Tamandua tetradactyla: one gene and its partner. The main gene of each other region encodes a partner of the protein of the gene in region 2 in a complex. Links are inferred from orthologs where the notes say so. Each region holds a gene or a part of one and is shown on either strand. Other genes may lie near its edges.

What was found.
Region 1: the proteins of POLA1 (region 2) and POLA2 are in contact, whole or in part, in a cryo-EM structure (PDB 8G99), measured with the Xenopus laevis proteins. The link is inferred for Tamandua tetradactyla from reciprocal best matches to the Homo sapiens genes POLA1 and POLA2. Residues at the interface, in NP_001082055.1 of Xenopus laevis: Gln548, Lys551, His553, Gln554, Asn555, Phe642, Glu645, Val646, Gln649, Asn652, Leu673, Gly675, Arg676, Phe679, Lys1137, Asp1141, Pro1143, Asp1144, Ile1321, Gln1322, His1324, Asn1325, Lys1326, Leu1328, Leu1329, Arg1332, Ile1335, Lys1336, Tyr1338, Tyr1339; in XP_018112289.1 of Xenopus laevis: Met280, Tyr281, Lys282, Phe283, Met284, Phe285, Gln286, Lys287, Leu288, Met289, Ile291, Arg292, Val295, Ser296, Ile299, Glu314, Thr316, Leu320, Pro321, Gln323, Glu324, Thr325, Val326, Gln331, Gly333, Cys334, Asp335, Ser336, Asn337, Gly338.

What each region holds. Positions count from the first base shown.
Region 1 is NC_135335.1:9,279,104-9,286,132, forward strand, and holds the start of POLA2 (DNA polymerase alpha subunit B), read right to left. Parts: upstream 3,051-7,029; 5' UTR 2,653-3,050; coding exon 2,574-2,652; intron 1-2,573. UniProt on the Homo sapiens protein: Accessory subunit of the DNA polymerase alpha complex (also known as the alpha DNA polymerase-primase complex) which plays an essential role in the initiation of DNA synthesis.
Region 2 is NC_135353.1:149,485,118-149,492,813, forward strand, and holds the start of POLA1 (DNA polymerase alpha catalytic subunit), read right to left. Parts: upstream 3,077-7,696; 5' UTR 3,020-3,076; coding exon 2,977-3,019; intron 1-2,976. UniProt on the Homo sapiens protein: Catalytic subunit of the DNA polymerase alpha complex (also known as the alpha DNA polymerase-primase complex) which plays an essential role in the initiation of DNA synthesis.

The DNA.
Region 1 (7,029 bases), on a different chromosome or scaffold from region 2:
GTCCAAGATGTGGGGTGCTCCAGTGTCATGAGGATGAATCTGCAAAGAGTGAGAACAAGCCAGGTACGAGGAAAACTAGGAGCAGAATCTGAAAAGTTAAGAGAAAAAGTGTTTTAAAGAAGAAATGACAAATGGCATCCAATGCTGCTGACAGTTCAGAAAGAGGACTGAGACTCCATCACTGGCTTTAGCAAAGTGTAGGTCACAGGTAACCTTGACAAAGCAGTTTTAGTTAATTGGCAGGGGTGAAAAAGCTTACTGAAATAGATTTAAGAGAGTGGGATAAGAAAAACCTGAAGATAAGGAGACTAGACAACCATCTTGAGGATTTTTGCTGTAGTTGGGAAGGAGAGAACTGGGCAACAGTTGGCAAGAGGGGTCAAGAGAGTGTTTTAAGAGATGGAAGTAAGAACCATGTTTTCAAGCTAATAGTGAAGCAGGATAAAATAGGGCAACTGTAAGTCCCTGGTTTCCTATTCAGCTCTGAAAGAGTTAAGAGACAACCGCAAGTCCCTTGTTTCTTATCTAGCTCCAAAGGAATGAATACAAAGTTCCAAATTTTAGCTGCGAAGTTCCTGGGACAAAAATTTTCCTAAAGTCTCCAAACCTCCCCAAACCATAAAAGACTGCAAAATTCTGGGAATGATAGAAAGCACAGGGTCATAAAGATTGTTAACTATTTGCTCAAAGACAAATTTTAAGTATGTGACAGCAAACCAGGACCTAGCTATCTCCTCCTCTATCTCCTCCTAAAACTTCCTAAAAGAAAGAAAACACCTGACTGGCGCTCAAAGGCCACCAAAGGAATCTGCCTCAAGAAGACACCTGGTGCTCAAAGATTACTATGGAAAGCTGCTACCAACAAAGCTTTCCTATAAAACAAGCTAGCCCATTCCACTCAGTGCGTGTCCCTCCCTTGGGCACATCTGTGCTAACCTCTTTAATGCGTACTCGCTCTCTTTTTTTTTTTTCTTTTTCATGGGCAAGCACCAGGAATCGAACCCCGGTCTCTGGCATGGCAGGTGAGAATTCTGCCACTCTCTTCTTCTCTTTAATAAACTTTATACCTATACCTACTGGCCCTTTTGTCTCTAAATTCTTTTAATTTCAAGACTAACAAATTTGGATCGGGGCTCAGCTGGCCCCATTGCCAGCAGGGCAATGGTTACAATAGGAAAAAAATCTTGTGGAGAGAAAAAGACAAAATAGGTAAGAGGGGTGAATTATGGAGTAATATCCTTGCATGAGAGGGAATGAGATTTAGGACTCAGGGGAGTGTTTGGCTTCTGTTAGGAATACGGAGAGTATATTGTGAGAGGACCAAAGCCTAGATATATGGCACAGAGGCAAGTGAGTGGGAGGAAGTGAAGGTGGTGGCTTATGGAAGTTTTCTAATTGCTTCCATTTTCTCAGCAAAACAGGAAGTGAATTCATCAGCTGAGAGTGAGGACTGGGGAAGAGGTTGTTTAAGGAGAAGGTGGAAAAGAGTCACCCAGAGTGAACTGACTGGGGGAAATATGGTATGATTGTCAGGCAACCTCAAAGCCTCCCCTTGAAGATAATGATTATGAAATCAAAGATGCCACCGCCAAGGTTTTGGGCTGAAGTCTTTACATATTTGGTTCACATAACTAATTTCTCGTTTTGATTTCATGTTCATCAAATAAACTTCTGGCTATGATTGGGTTTCTCATATAAGTCTCCTTTCAGGAAGAGAATACTCTGGGCTTAAGAACTTGGGAAAATTCTAGTCTCTGCGAAAGGAATTTCTCCTAAATTAATATATTTGAGTTCTGGTTTTAAATACAGACAAAGAAGTTTAAAGTGTTGACAACCGGTTGAGGCAGGTGCACACTGGTCCTGATTCTGAGACTGAGAATTTTCACATCTCCTGAGATTTTTATGTCTGCTTCAAACAACTCCTTACACTGCTCTAGAGCAGAATATGATGGAATGAGCCCTGGACAGGACTGCGGGAAGCCCGGGTTCACTGACCAGCTCATGTACTTAACTTTCCCAGCCTATTTCTCCATCTATAAACAAAAGCAGCTGACAGTTCCTTCAAAGTCCCTTCCAAAGCTAAAATTCAATTTTAGGAACAATCTCCATCCACCCCCACCCCCAAAAGGGGAGGCATATTTGCACAGACCACCAGCAGCCTCGATGAGGGAAACAATACATCAGCAGAAGTTTAAAGTATAGGATGGAAAGAGAGGAGCCAGGAATAGCAAGCTCCACTTCAAAAATCCCCTATCTGCTCTGTTATGAGGGATGTCACTGGGGCCTAGTCTGAGCCTAGTGCGACCCAATTCCATCAATCTGTAACTGCACTGAGTTAAAACCGTGCCTCATATTCTTATTTTGGGGGACTCAAGCAGTACCCCGTCAGCATTTCAAGGTGTCCACATCCTTTACCTCAAACCACTGTTTAATTTTGCATCTCACAACCACCGAGAATTCGGGTTAGGGGGAGGTGAAGTTGGAAGCGCTGCCCTGTATGTTCCAGGTGACTTGGGGACCTGGGGGAGAGGAAGGCCCACGGCGGGGGCCCGCGGAGGGGGGTGAGTACTCACATCTTCCCATCAGAGCTTCCTCGCAGTCGAGGCCGAACATCTGCAACTCCTCCGCCAGGTTCTGGGCGGACACTGACATGGTGACCCAGGAGCTTGGCCGGCCAGCCGAGCCCACCCAGCTTCCACCTCCGAGCCCAAGCAACTCGCGGGCGTGGGAGACCGTCGAACCGGGTAAGGTGCCTCTTACCCTGTCGCCCTCCGGGGGATCGAAACGCAAGGTGACCAGAGGGCCCCAAACCTCAGGGAGGCAGGAGGCCCGAGCCGTCAGTCACAGGAAAGCACTTCTGAAGATGTGTGGGGAGCTTCCGAGCATCCCAAAGGGAGCGAGCAGTAAACGGGAAGAAGTTTGCTTTCCTGGGGAGCTCGTCTCGCTTCCTAAAAGATCCCACTGAACCCCCGAGGGACGCGGGCAGAAACGAACAGCCGGCAAAATCCCGCCAAATGGGTCGTGCGGCGTGCGCATGCGCGAAGTCGGGTTCAACCCCGCCCCTTCTCCTCCACTCACCCCCCCACCCCTCAAGGCCGGGCCGCCGCGCGCGCACGCGCGTTGGAGAGCGCGTGCGTACAAACGCCAACACGTCGGCTCGCGCGCCCCCGCGTGGCGGCCAACCAGCCCTACGGCGGCTGCGCAGTTTGTCTCTCTTCCGGCGCAAGAGCCGAGGTTCGAGGGGGCAACGCGCCGGGACCGCCAGCCCCGGGGCTGCGTTTTCGCGGCAGCCGCTGATGTTTTCCGGAACTTCTGCTCGGCCAAGGTCAGCACCCTTTTGACTTCTGCCTGGGTGCGCAGGCGCTGTGATGAACATGAGTTCCAGTGCGTTTCGGCCCCTGCAGTACATTTTTACCTCCTCTGCTCCCTTGTCACCTCTGTCCTCGTTGTGCCCTTGCTCTATCTTGAAAGGGTGGCTTCGGTGGGCAGTCTGGTTGCCATGGTTACCACCGTGGGCCTCTACCACAGCGGTCGTTCTGTTTTCTGGATCTGGGACGGTGACAGAAATTATTCCATTTGGGACACGTTGGGTTTGAGATGCCATTTGGGATTTCCAGTTGGAGGGTTCCAGCAGGGGGAGTGGAGCTGGGCATGCGGACCTGATAACTGTCCAAGGAAAACTTTACTGGGCAGTGTTCAACAGGCAAGGATGATTTATTTATGGTAGGGGAGAAGGAGAACTCAGCTCTGATGGGAAGCAGGCTTTGGTTAAGTTTTATAGTCAGGGTAAGGGTAATGGAAAAGTATCAGTCAGCCATCCCGTGGAAGAAGGTGGAGGAGGTAGGGGTGAGGTTGATAACTTGAAGTAGTTAGTATATGGAATTGTCCCCCACCCCCACCCCAGCTCCCCATTCCCTTTTTTTATTTCTGCAGTCCCTGTTAATTTTTTCTTTGTAGTCCCACAGCTGGAAAATTGGTTTCAAGGTAGTCATGGCTGGGGAGGGAACAGCATAACCATCCATTTCTAGCTTTTGCTAAGGGAGAGAACACGCTGAGAAGAGAACACCTCCCACCCGCACATTTTCCCCTAATTCTTTGAGCCAGAATCTCCATTCTCTCAGCTTAGATTAAATGAGTTTAGGTGGCATACTCTGGTGACAGGATGCCTGTCTGGTAGAGTCTTGAAAATCGTTTGGCAATACATATCAGGAGCCAAAAAAGTATCCATTCTTCTGGACTCAATAATACTTATCCTAAGGAAGCCATCCAAAATCCAGAGGAAGTTTTATGCCCAAAGATCTTCGTTATAGCCTTATTTACAACATCAAAAAAAAAATGGTGACAGTTTGACCATCCAACCTTAGGGAAGTGATAAGGGAGAGTAAGGGTCTCCCCAGAGCAGCAACTCTCAGACTCTGCACCAAGGAGGCCAAAGACTTCTAGAGGGCACCTTGGATGAGATGAAGTGCAGGGGCCGAGCAGGATGGGTGCAGCCCATCTTGGCCTCAGCCGGGCAGCACGGAGTGGGATATGGTCTACTTATTTACCAAATTCCGGGGAGGGATGAGAAGGCAAAACCGCCTTACTGTCCCCCGAGGCCTCTTGCTAGTGAGTAGCAAGGGTAGAGGATGGGAGAAGTCCATCTTGGTGCAGGCAGCAGGGGTTATTAATTTTCTGTTGCTATGTGATGAATTTTCACAATCTTAGCAACTTAAAACAACACCCATTTGTTAGCTCAGTTCTGCAGAAAAGCAGTCTGGGCATGCAGGACCCCAGTCTCACCAGGCTGAAATCAAGTTGTTGACTAGACTGCATTCATTTCTGGAATTTTGGGGGAAGAATCCACTTCCACGCTCTTCCAAGCTGTTACCTGAATACGTTTTCTGCCTCTATAGGGCCATTTTCTTGCTGACTGTCAGCTAGGGGTCACTCTCAGCTCCTAGAATCCACCCACACCTTTGGCCTCTTCCATCTTCAAGCCAGAGATGGCACGTGGAATACCCCTTGTGCTTTGAATCTCTTGTTCTCTCTTCTCCCACCAGCCAGAGGAACGTCTGGTTTTTAAAAGGCTCATGTTACTAGGTCAGGCCTACCCAGATAATTTTTTGTTTTGTTTTGTTTTGTTTTTTTCATGGGCAGGCATGGAAATTGAACCCGGGTCCTCTGGCATGGCAGGCGAGAACTCTGCCTGCTGAGCCACCGTGACCCACCCCATCTCCCTTTCTTAAGGTCAGCTAACTTGGAAGCTTAAGGACCCCTGCAAAATCCCTTCACTGCAGAAGCTAGATGAATGTGAAGGGGGCATTGGGCATTGGCTCAACATAAAAACTCACCAAGCCAGTAGAGCACAACAAAGAAAAATTTAAAAAGCAAAAGAAGAGGTTATTGAAACAGTGGCCAGATCTATTTTGAAATATTTAATGCCTTCAACACAGCTTATAGTTTCATTTCATGATGATTACTGAAAATAATTTTGTTGTAAAACAGAGGGAGAGTTAACAAGTAATGTGCTCTGGCTGTCAATTGTGCTAGGTATGATACTGCCCCTCCTTCCCTCTGTTCAATCCTTTTCTGAATTATTACAGGCATATCTCAGAGATATTGTGGGTTTTGTTCCAGATCACCAATAAAGCATATATTGCAATAAAGCGAGTCACAAATTTATTTTTTTATATTGGAGTCGTTGGAGGTTTACAGACCAGGCGTGCATAAAATGCAGGATTCCCATACACCACCCCACCACCACCACCTTGCATTGGTGGAGTCCCGAGAATTTGTTGGTTTTCGTGCATATAAAATTAGGTTTACATTATACTGTAATCTATTAAGTGTGAATAAATGAATGTCTAAAAAGCCAATGTAGATACCTTAATTTAAAAATACTTCATTGCCCAGGGATAAGCCTGGCCCTGGCTCTGTTGGATCAACAATGCCTTCCTGACCAAAAAGGGGAGAAGAAGTGTAACAAATAAGGTATCAGAGGCTGAGAGAGTTCAAATAGAGCCGAGAGTCTACTCTGGAGGTCACTCTTAAGTGCAATCTTCAGTTAAACATTGCTACCTATCATAACTTGGCACACCTCAACCAAAACCATTCTAGCCAATTCTAAAGAATACCTAGGGCAACATATAAGATTCTACAATGCTTCCATGCACTAGGGTAACTTTCCAGAAACCTACAAACTCAAAATAAGTTCTGAAACACAGAGGGGCCAGCCCTTCCAGAACATCAGCTAGTTCCATCCTCCTACCCCTTATTATTAACAACCCCTTCCAATATGAAAAAATTAAAATAGGCATAGCCCAAATACCCCTAAAGAGTGGAAGAGAGATCAAAGGTAATGGTGAAATTATACAGAGAAGGTAGGGTTTAACAAATGAATGTGATTGCTGAATCATTATATTGATTTTTTTTAGTCTCTAGTAGCGGAACTAGAAGTAAAAACCTGAAATTGTGGAGCAGTAACCCATACTAAACTCTGGAATCTGTTTTATAACTAATGGTTGTGGTGTGCTTTGAAATTGACAGCTTCTTTTTGTATATATGTTATTTTTCACAATTAAAAAATGCTTTCATTGCTAAAAAATGCCAACTATCATCTGAGCCTTCAGAGAGTCATCATTTCTTTGCTGGTAGAGGGTCTTGCCTCGAAATGGATGGCTGCTGACCAACCTGGGGAGTGGGTGCTGAAGATTGGGAGGGCTGTAGCAATTTCTTAAAAAAGACAGTGAAATTTGCCACATCAATCGACTTTTTCTTTCATGAAGGATTTCTCTGTAGTATGCGATGCTGTTTGATGGCATTTACCCGCAATAGAACTTCTTTCAAAATGGAAGTCAGTCTTCTCAAACCCTGCCACTGTTTTATCAACTAAGTTGATGTCCTATTCCAAATCCTTTGCTGTCATTTCACAGTGTTCATGGCATCTTTACCAGGGGTAGATTCCATCTAAAGAAACAACTTTCTTTGTTCCTCCGTAAGAAGCAACTCCTCATCCATTCAGGTTTTATTGTGAGACTGCAGCGATTT
Region 2 (7,696 bases):
CTCTGCCCCTGCACTCTCCCCCTCCCCCCAAAAAGAAGCAAACAAAGAAAGGAAAAACAAACAAACAAAAATTCAACAAATGGTGCTGCAATAACAGGATACTAACATGGAAAAAGAATGAAATGTGACCCCCCCCCCCACCATGCAGCATACCAAAGAAAAAAAGAACATAGTACTGAGAAAATGTAGAAAAAAGAGCCATTAAATTCTGCATGAGAAATCAGGAAAGGTTTCACAGAGAGATTTCAAATATAGGCCTAGAAAGAAGAGTAGATCTCACCATTAGAGAACAGGGTAAAAAGTGGCACAAACAGAAGAAAAGGCATGACCCAAATTAGAGGTATAAAAATGCAGCATGTATTCAGAAACCAAGAGATAAAGTCAGTATTAACACCTTCAGGTAAGTTCAATGTGAGAGTGTAGAGTGAGTGGAAGAACCAGATTTAGAAAAGCAGCACATCCCAGCTCTGCCATTTACTGGGCTACATCAGACCACCAGTTAACCTCTCTGAGCCTTGATTTGTTTTGTTTTTAAGCTGCCCAGCTTCTGAAACTGGTTGTGAGATTCCCTCCTGACAAGTCTTGCTGGGAGAGAGAGCCCACATCCCACTACTTAAGCTGAAAAGGCCAGATGCCCTTTCCCAGATTCCCTAGCAGCTAGGGCAGAAGCATATAAACTAGGCTCTACTAGTTAGAAACACCTTCTCAGACTTTAAATTAGAAGCTAATGTCACAAGGAGGTGGAAGGGGGCCTTAAAGAAGATTATGAAAGTAGCAACAGTTAGAGGAGGATTGAGTGTCTGGAGCAACAACGCCCAATGCTGCAAGGTACAAGCTAAAGCATCAAGTAGCTGGCCATTTGAGAATTACCTCCTCATTGAACCAGTTTAGTAGCACAATTTTAAGCACTGTTCCTGGCTAAGCAACCCTCACACTGGCTCTCCTGTCCTCCTGGAGTTTCTGTGAAAACCCCAATAACATTCTAATAAATTATTTTTCTATTTAAATCAGTTAGAATTGGTTCCTATAGCTTACGCTAAGGATTCTGACTAATGCAGAGCCTCAGCGCCGTCATCTATGAAATGGGGATAATCATGTCTGCTTTGTAAAGTTGGTAAGGATTAAATGAAGATGCTTATCTTACTTTGTACCTAGCAATACAAGAGGAGTCCGTGTGTGTATAGAGATGCAGGGCAGTGACATATACATATATATGTACACACTCATTCCTGGCAGTACAATGCTCTAGCTTTTAGAAAACAGAAATAAAGCAAAACAACTTTCTCAGGGAAGTCTCAACATAGTACTGCAAATAATTAAATGTTTATCATCTCAACTGCACTAAGGACAGAAACCATGTCGAGTCTACCCACCGTTTAACAGAGCCTGGCAGAATGACTATGCCTAGTAGGTACATAATAAATATTTGCTGGATGAACAAATAAATGAACTATTACATCTGCGTTTTTGATCATTAAACTCTCCCTGGTCTCTTTTTATATATAATAGCAGCCAGCTATAGACCTTTCAACTTTTCACAGCATTGTCAAGGTACCCCATTCTAACACTTAAGAAAAAAAAGGCCTAGATTTTCCTTTTTGGGGTACGTTTCCGATGTTTCGTGTAGTTAGCAAAAATAATAATAAGCATGAAAAAACCCAAGAACAAAAGTTTATGTGATTCACAATTACCATTTATAATACCACCATCTGCCCCAAAAGCAGATAGACTCACCTCCAACAGTCTTTCAGCCAACAATCTTTCAGTTCAGTCTGCTCTAAAGGAAAGATTCCAGTCACAAGTGCCCAGCAACTACTTAATCAAATACCATGACTTAAAAGGGGTCTCAAGATTGCACAGTATCATCCAGAGTGATTTCTTGATGTTCAGGGATGACGTACAGTTTTTAGAAAGAAAGGCTTAGTGGCAAATCACTGATAGAGGGCTGCAAAGACACACTCACACCTTACATCCCATTTGTAATCCAGGCCAGTTAACGCTCCAGAATAAATTGTCTTAAAAAACGGAAGGCTAGAACAAATTGAAATGTGTGATTCACAACTAGGTGAATGCAAAAGGAAGCTGATTAGGGAGCAAGTTCTCATTAATGGTGATATATCTGAGTGGCAGGAGATATGAAGCTTGAGTAAGAAAGTGAAGCATTTGATTTTAAGTTAGGAGCTCAGCGAAGAAGTCACACTTTAGTTGAACACTGTTCAAAAATCAGAAATCAGACAAAGCCATTTACATTTTTTTATTCTATTTTTGGAAATAAAAAATCATTTGTAACTGAATGATACACAAGGCATCCAAAATGCTGCCCAACTGGTGCATTTTTTTTTTCAGAAACTTCACCCGAAATGACTAGATTGTGAACACTATTTCTATGCAGCACTTGAAAAACTTTGCACTGAAGCTGAAAGAAAAAACTGTTAATGCATAAAGTAGAAACCCATTACCTAAAAATACAAAATGCATTCGTATCTAGTGACAGCACTTAGAGCTTTCTTTCCTGTTAAGTTACAACACATAACAATTTTCCTCGCAGTTCTTAGAAAGGGGGGCGCACATCTATTCAATCCTAGCTCTTAAACGGATATTTGGCACCGAAGTAGTGAAACACTTTCAGCCAAGATAGTGCCCACACCAGTCTCAAAGATAGGCCCAACACGTGCGGTGCAAGTGACCAAAAGAAATAAAAATAAAGAAGGGCAAGTGCGGTGACCCTCAGTGACAGAGGTGAAGCAGCCTCCCAAACAGAAAAGACACGCAAGGTGTTGCACGGGTTTGCTAGAAGCAAATGGCCCTGGAAGAAAGCCCGGTCCTATACTGTAAGGTCTCCCGCCCAAGACGACGGTGGTCCACGCCACCCTGAGAAAAAAATTAGGGAGAACCCCCAAAATCTGCACCACCTGCACTCCTGCCGCAGTCCCCACACTCCCAACTAGACATCCCGCGCGCGAGGCCGTCCCTCACCGTTTGCCCCCGGCTCGCAGTCGTCGCCATGCACCGGCGCCATGGTTCCGAATCTCCCGATTCCGCGCCAACCAGCCCGAAACTGGCGCGGGGGCCGAAACAGGCGCCAGCCCGAAAGCCAATCAGCGGCTCCCGAGGCTGTGGACTTCCGCCCGGAAGGCCACTTACGTGCCGCCGCGCTGGGCCCCGCCCCTGGCCTTGCCGCGGGCTCGCGTTTGGCGCCCTGTGATGACCCCTTAGGGAAGGTTAGAGCTGAGCCGGGGCCGCTGGAGAGGAGGAGAAAGAAGCGGCCGGGCGCTGGAAAGGAGCCCTCTGGAGACTCGCTGCGCAGGCGCACGCATGCTGAAGGAAAAGACTTGGGCGCGTGGGAATAGAGGCTCCCTGGTTCTGAGAGTTGATTTTCTGGGAAAAGAGGCGCGGGCGGGCAGGATAGTGGGCGTGGTCGGACTGTATTTCCAGAAGCCTGGGAAAGCGACTGCCTCCTGCTGTGCGCTCTGAGTTTTGCTAGATACTTTGCCTCTCACATTGTTAAAGGTTGTTATGTGAATTTTTTTTTAATAAGCCACCACTTAAAGGTATATACACGACCCTAATCAAATGGCCAAAACAGCGTCACTAATAAGTAAGGGGCAATCTGACCTCATATGCCTCTGATACGATGCGCTTGAAAAAAAGAACATCACCTCTGTAATCTTGCAAAAAACGTTAAACCTGAATCTAACCGTGAGGAAACAATCAGACGTATCTAAAGTGTAGGACAACTTATAAAATATCTGTATTAAACTCTTCTAAAATGTTAACGTTACGAAAGACAAAAAAAGTGGTGAGGGGATCAGAGAGACAGAACAACTTGAGCCTTGATCAGAGCTTGCATATTAAAAACAAAGCTGTAAAGAATATTATTTGAGAACATTGGGGAATTTAATATAAGCTATTGTTAGAGCGGTGTTGAATTTCTTTGGGGTGATAAGTTTTGGTTGTGCAGGAGAATGTCCGTATTCTAAGGAGATGCTTAGGCGTGACATAATTGTCTAGCAAAGAGAGATAAAGCAAATGTGGCAAAACTTTTCTGTTCGTAAATAAAAAGTTAAAGGAAAAATGATACACAGAGTGTGTATTTTACTTCTTCGAGAGAAATTATCTTAATCACCCCAAAATGAACTCAGTTATGTTACTAAAGGCCGTGAATTCATTTACCCGATGTGCTCAATAACCAATTCCTGAGACACCGGGGTTTCAGAGAGAAAGAATTTTATTACTAGGTGCACAGTAAGAGAGCAGATGGCGTAGTGACTCAAAATCTGTCTCCTTGAACTGCAGCAATTCTGATAGTTTTATTATAGAAAAGATGGGTGAGGTTTAGGATAATGACCACAGTGGCCCCAGATGATATAATTAGAGGCAATCTAATTATTGAGCATGCACAGATTGATTACATGCTTAGTCACAGAACATGTGTAAGAAAATGGCAGAACGATGTATAGGTGACTTTTAGGTTAAAGTCTAAGCTACTGCACATGTCAACCCGATCCATTTTGCTTAGATCCAGTCTCGGTTCTCAAGATTACTTTGGACTTGGAGTGGGTTAGGTCTGGGCCTCAAGACCCTTCATTAATAAACATTAGGGGCTGTCTTTAGTAATGACAAGACTTCTAAAGTTAAAAACTGGATAACTCCGTATGAATGAAGGTTAGTCACAAGGTTTTTGCAATCACAGGGGCAGAAGATAAAGGCCATACGATCATTATCAGAGATCAAGGCAGCTGGGTTACAATTTAGAGATTTCAGTATTTTCCCTCTATCTTCTCCAATATACCAGAAAGCAAAAAGGACTGTCTATGTAATGATTCAGTAATCAAAATCATCCTTTAAATCCTGATTTCTAAATTATGCTTAGATAGTTCAATTTGAAGCAGGGGAGCAGTGCTGGCAGAAGAGAGTGGCTTTTGCGCTTTCACCCCCACCCCCATTCCACCCCAGCACATGCAAAGCCTCACACCTCTCTCAACCTGGCATATTCTAGGCCTCCTCCAAGTTTTAACCACCCCAAGGTTAAGCCTGCCACAATCCCCTAGGTTCTGGTCTAGATTATCTTCACAGCTATTAAAATGAGCAATTTTATTACCATTGGCCTTTTGGTGTTCTTATAAATATCCAGTCTGGTTGTCTTGGTTTCGTAGGGCTATTGTAACAAAGTACCATAGACTAGTTGGCTTAAAGAACAGAAATGTATTGTTTCTGTAAATTCTGTAAGCCAGTAGTCTGAGTCATGGTGTCGGCAGAGGCACGCTTCTTCTGTAGGGTTCTGACAGTGATAAGGAATCCATGAAGTTCCTTCGCTGGTAGCATAATTCAATCTCTCTCTCTGCCTCTGCCTCTCTATGTCCAGACTTCCTCTCCTTATAAGGGCACCAATCATATCAGAAAGTCCTGATTGGCCCATCTTAACTAATAATATCTTCAAAACTCTTACTTATAAATAAGTTCACAATCATAGAACCAGGGGTTAGGATGCAAACATATCTTTTGGGAGTGACACAATTCCATCCATTGTACTCTGCCCTCTGGACCCTAAAAAACCATGTCCTTCCCACATACAAACACATTCACCCCATCCCAAGATCCCAAAAGTCTTAAGCCATTTCAGTAACAATTCTAAATCCAAAGTCTCATCAAAATCAGCTAGATGGGTGTGGTCCATCCCGTGGCAAAATTCCTCTTAGTCTGTGGATTTGTGAAACCTAGAAAACAAGTTTCCAAAATACAATAGTGGGACAGGCATAGGGTAGATATTCCCATTATGGAAGGGAAAAATTGGAAGTAAAAAAGGATTCATGGGTCCCAAGCAAATCTGAACCCCAGCAGGGCAAATTCTATTAGATTCCAAGTTCTGAAAGTCATCTGTGGATTGATGCTATGTCTTTGAACCTGGTGGGATTCCATTACCTAGTAGCTTCCCAGGCCTATTAAATCAGACTTTCTGAGGATGGGACTCCAATGTACACCAAGGGTGAGACCAAGTGGTCTAGATGAGGTACTGCTGAACTTTTTCTATTTCTTTTTATTTATTTTCTTTAACTTTTTTCACCGATCTTTTGTAGTTTTTTAACACATCTATCTTGTACATATTTTGTTAACTTTATCCCTAAGAATGTCATGTTTTTAATGCTATTATAAATTCGTCTTGCTTTTTAAATTTCGATTTCCAATTGTTTGTGGCTAGTTAAGATTTTGATGCCACCCCAACACACATGACCCTCTTCTCCCTAATCCTAGCTAGAGCAGTTACACTACTGTGGTACAGAATTTTTTCTTTCTTTGGCATTTCTGCCAAGTTACCATTTATGCAGAACACTTCCACTGAGCCACCCTACATTTTGTTCTTCTTTGGAGACCAGTGTGAAGAGAAGCAAAGCCATTTCCAAATCTTGGTTTTGATTCCAGGTCAAGCAAGAAGTTTCCTAACTACTTAGATTTGTTTCAAGATATTTAATTTCATTTTCCTGAATCAAAAGTTTGGAAATGTTGTATGTTGCTCTTTTCCTCATATTTTCCTCGTATTTTCACAGGAGGTTCAACTGTGTTTCTCTTATAATCACAAATTGCATTGTCTATGGTCAAGGACATTTAGAGGTGGAAAAGTTCTTAAAAATCCTTGAACTTGTTGTCTCTCCAGCAAAATAACTTCTTCAGTGAGTTGTTGATTATATACCAAGAATGGAATGATCATATGGTAAGATTTTCATGTTTGTTTGTTGTTATGTTTTAAAAAAATTTTAATTATAAAATAATAATAATAATAATAAATTCTTCAGAGTCACAGTTGAAAATTAAGATTCCCTTTTACCTTGGTAAGTGAGAAAATGGTGAAAGGGTAAGGGAAAAAGAGAAAAATACAAGGAACTGGGTTCTAGGGTTAAGCACAAAAATGTTGTATCATGAAAGGCCTGCTGGCAGACAGCAAAAAGCCTGGGAAGTATATAGAGGTAATTACTAAACATATCATGTTCAGTTTCTTGCCAAGACAGTTCTACACCAGGCTGAAAGTTTTTCTGTTAGTGAGAAAAATGTCTGCAACCACCCCCCAGCAATCCATTAAAATAATTGTTATGAGGAAGTGAAACAATTTCCAAGTTACTTGTCTTGTCACTCTAGCATCTTTGAGAAGTTTTATTAATGGCCTAATGGATCAACAAACTTTGAAGACATTTCTGTGCTTGGATCTAAGTTGTTTTACCAAGTTACTGCAAAATAAAACTAATGTAGTAGTTTGAAGTTATATGAACCCCAGAAAAAAACATGTTTTTAAATCTAATCCACTTCTGTGGGTGTAATCCTACTGTAAGCAGTATATTTTTTTTTTTTTTTTTTTTAAAGGAAAGACAGAGAGAAGGAAGGAAGGATAGAAGGAAGGAAGGAAGGAAGAAAGGGAAACATCTTTAAACATTTTCTTGTTTCATATGTTGATCACTTCCTGGAAGATGGCGGCTTAGTAAGACGCGCGGATCTTAGTTTCTTCTCCAGGACACCTACTAGGGGAGTAGAAACGATACAGAAAGCGCCCAAAGCCACAACAGAGATAAAAAAGACAGCGTACCCCATCCTGGAACGGCTGGCTGGCTGAGAGAAGCAGCTCGGGTGAGATCGCCGAGGCGCGCGGGCCTTACCGGGCGGGGTGGCAAGCGGCCGGAGTTACTCCCTTCCCCCTTCCCGGGCCGGC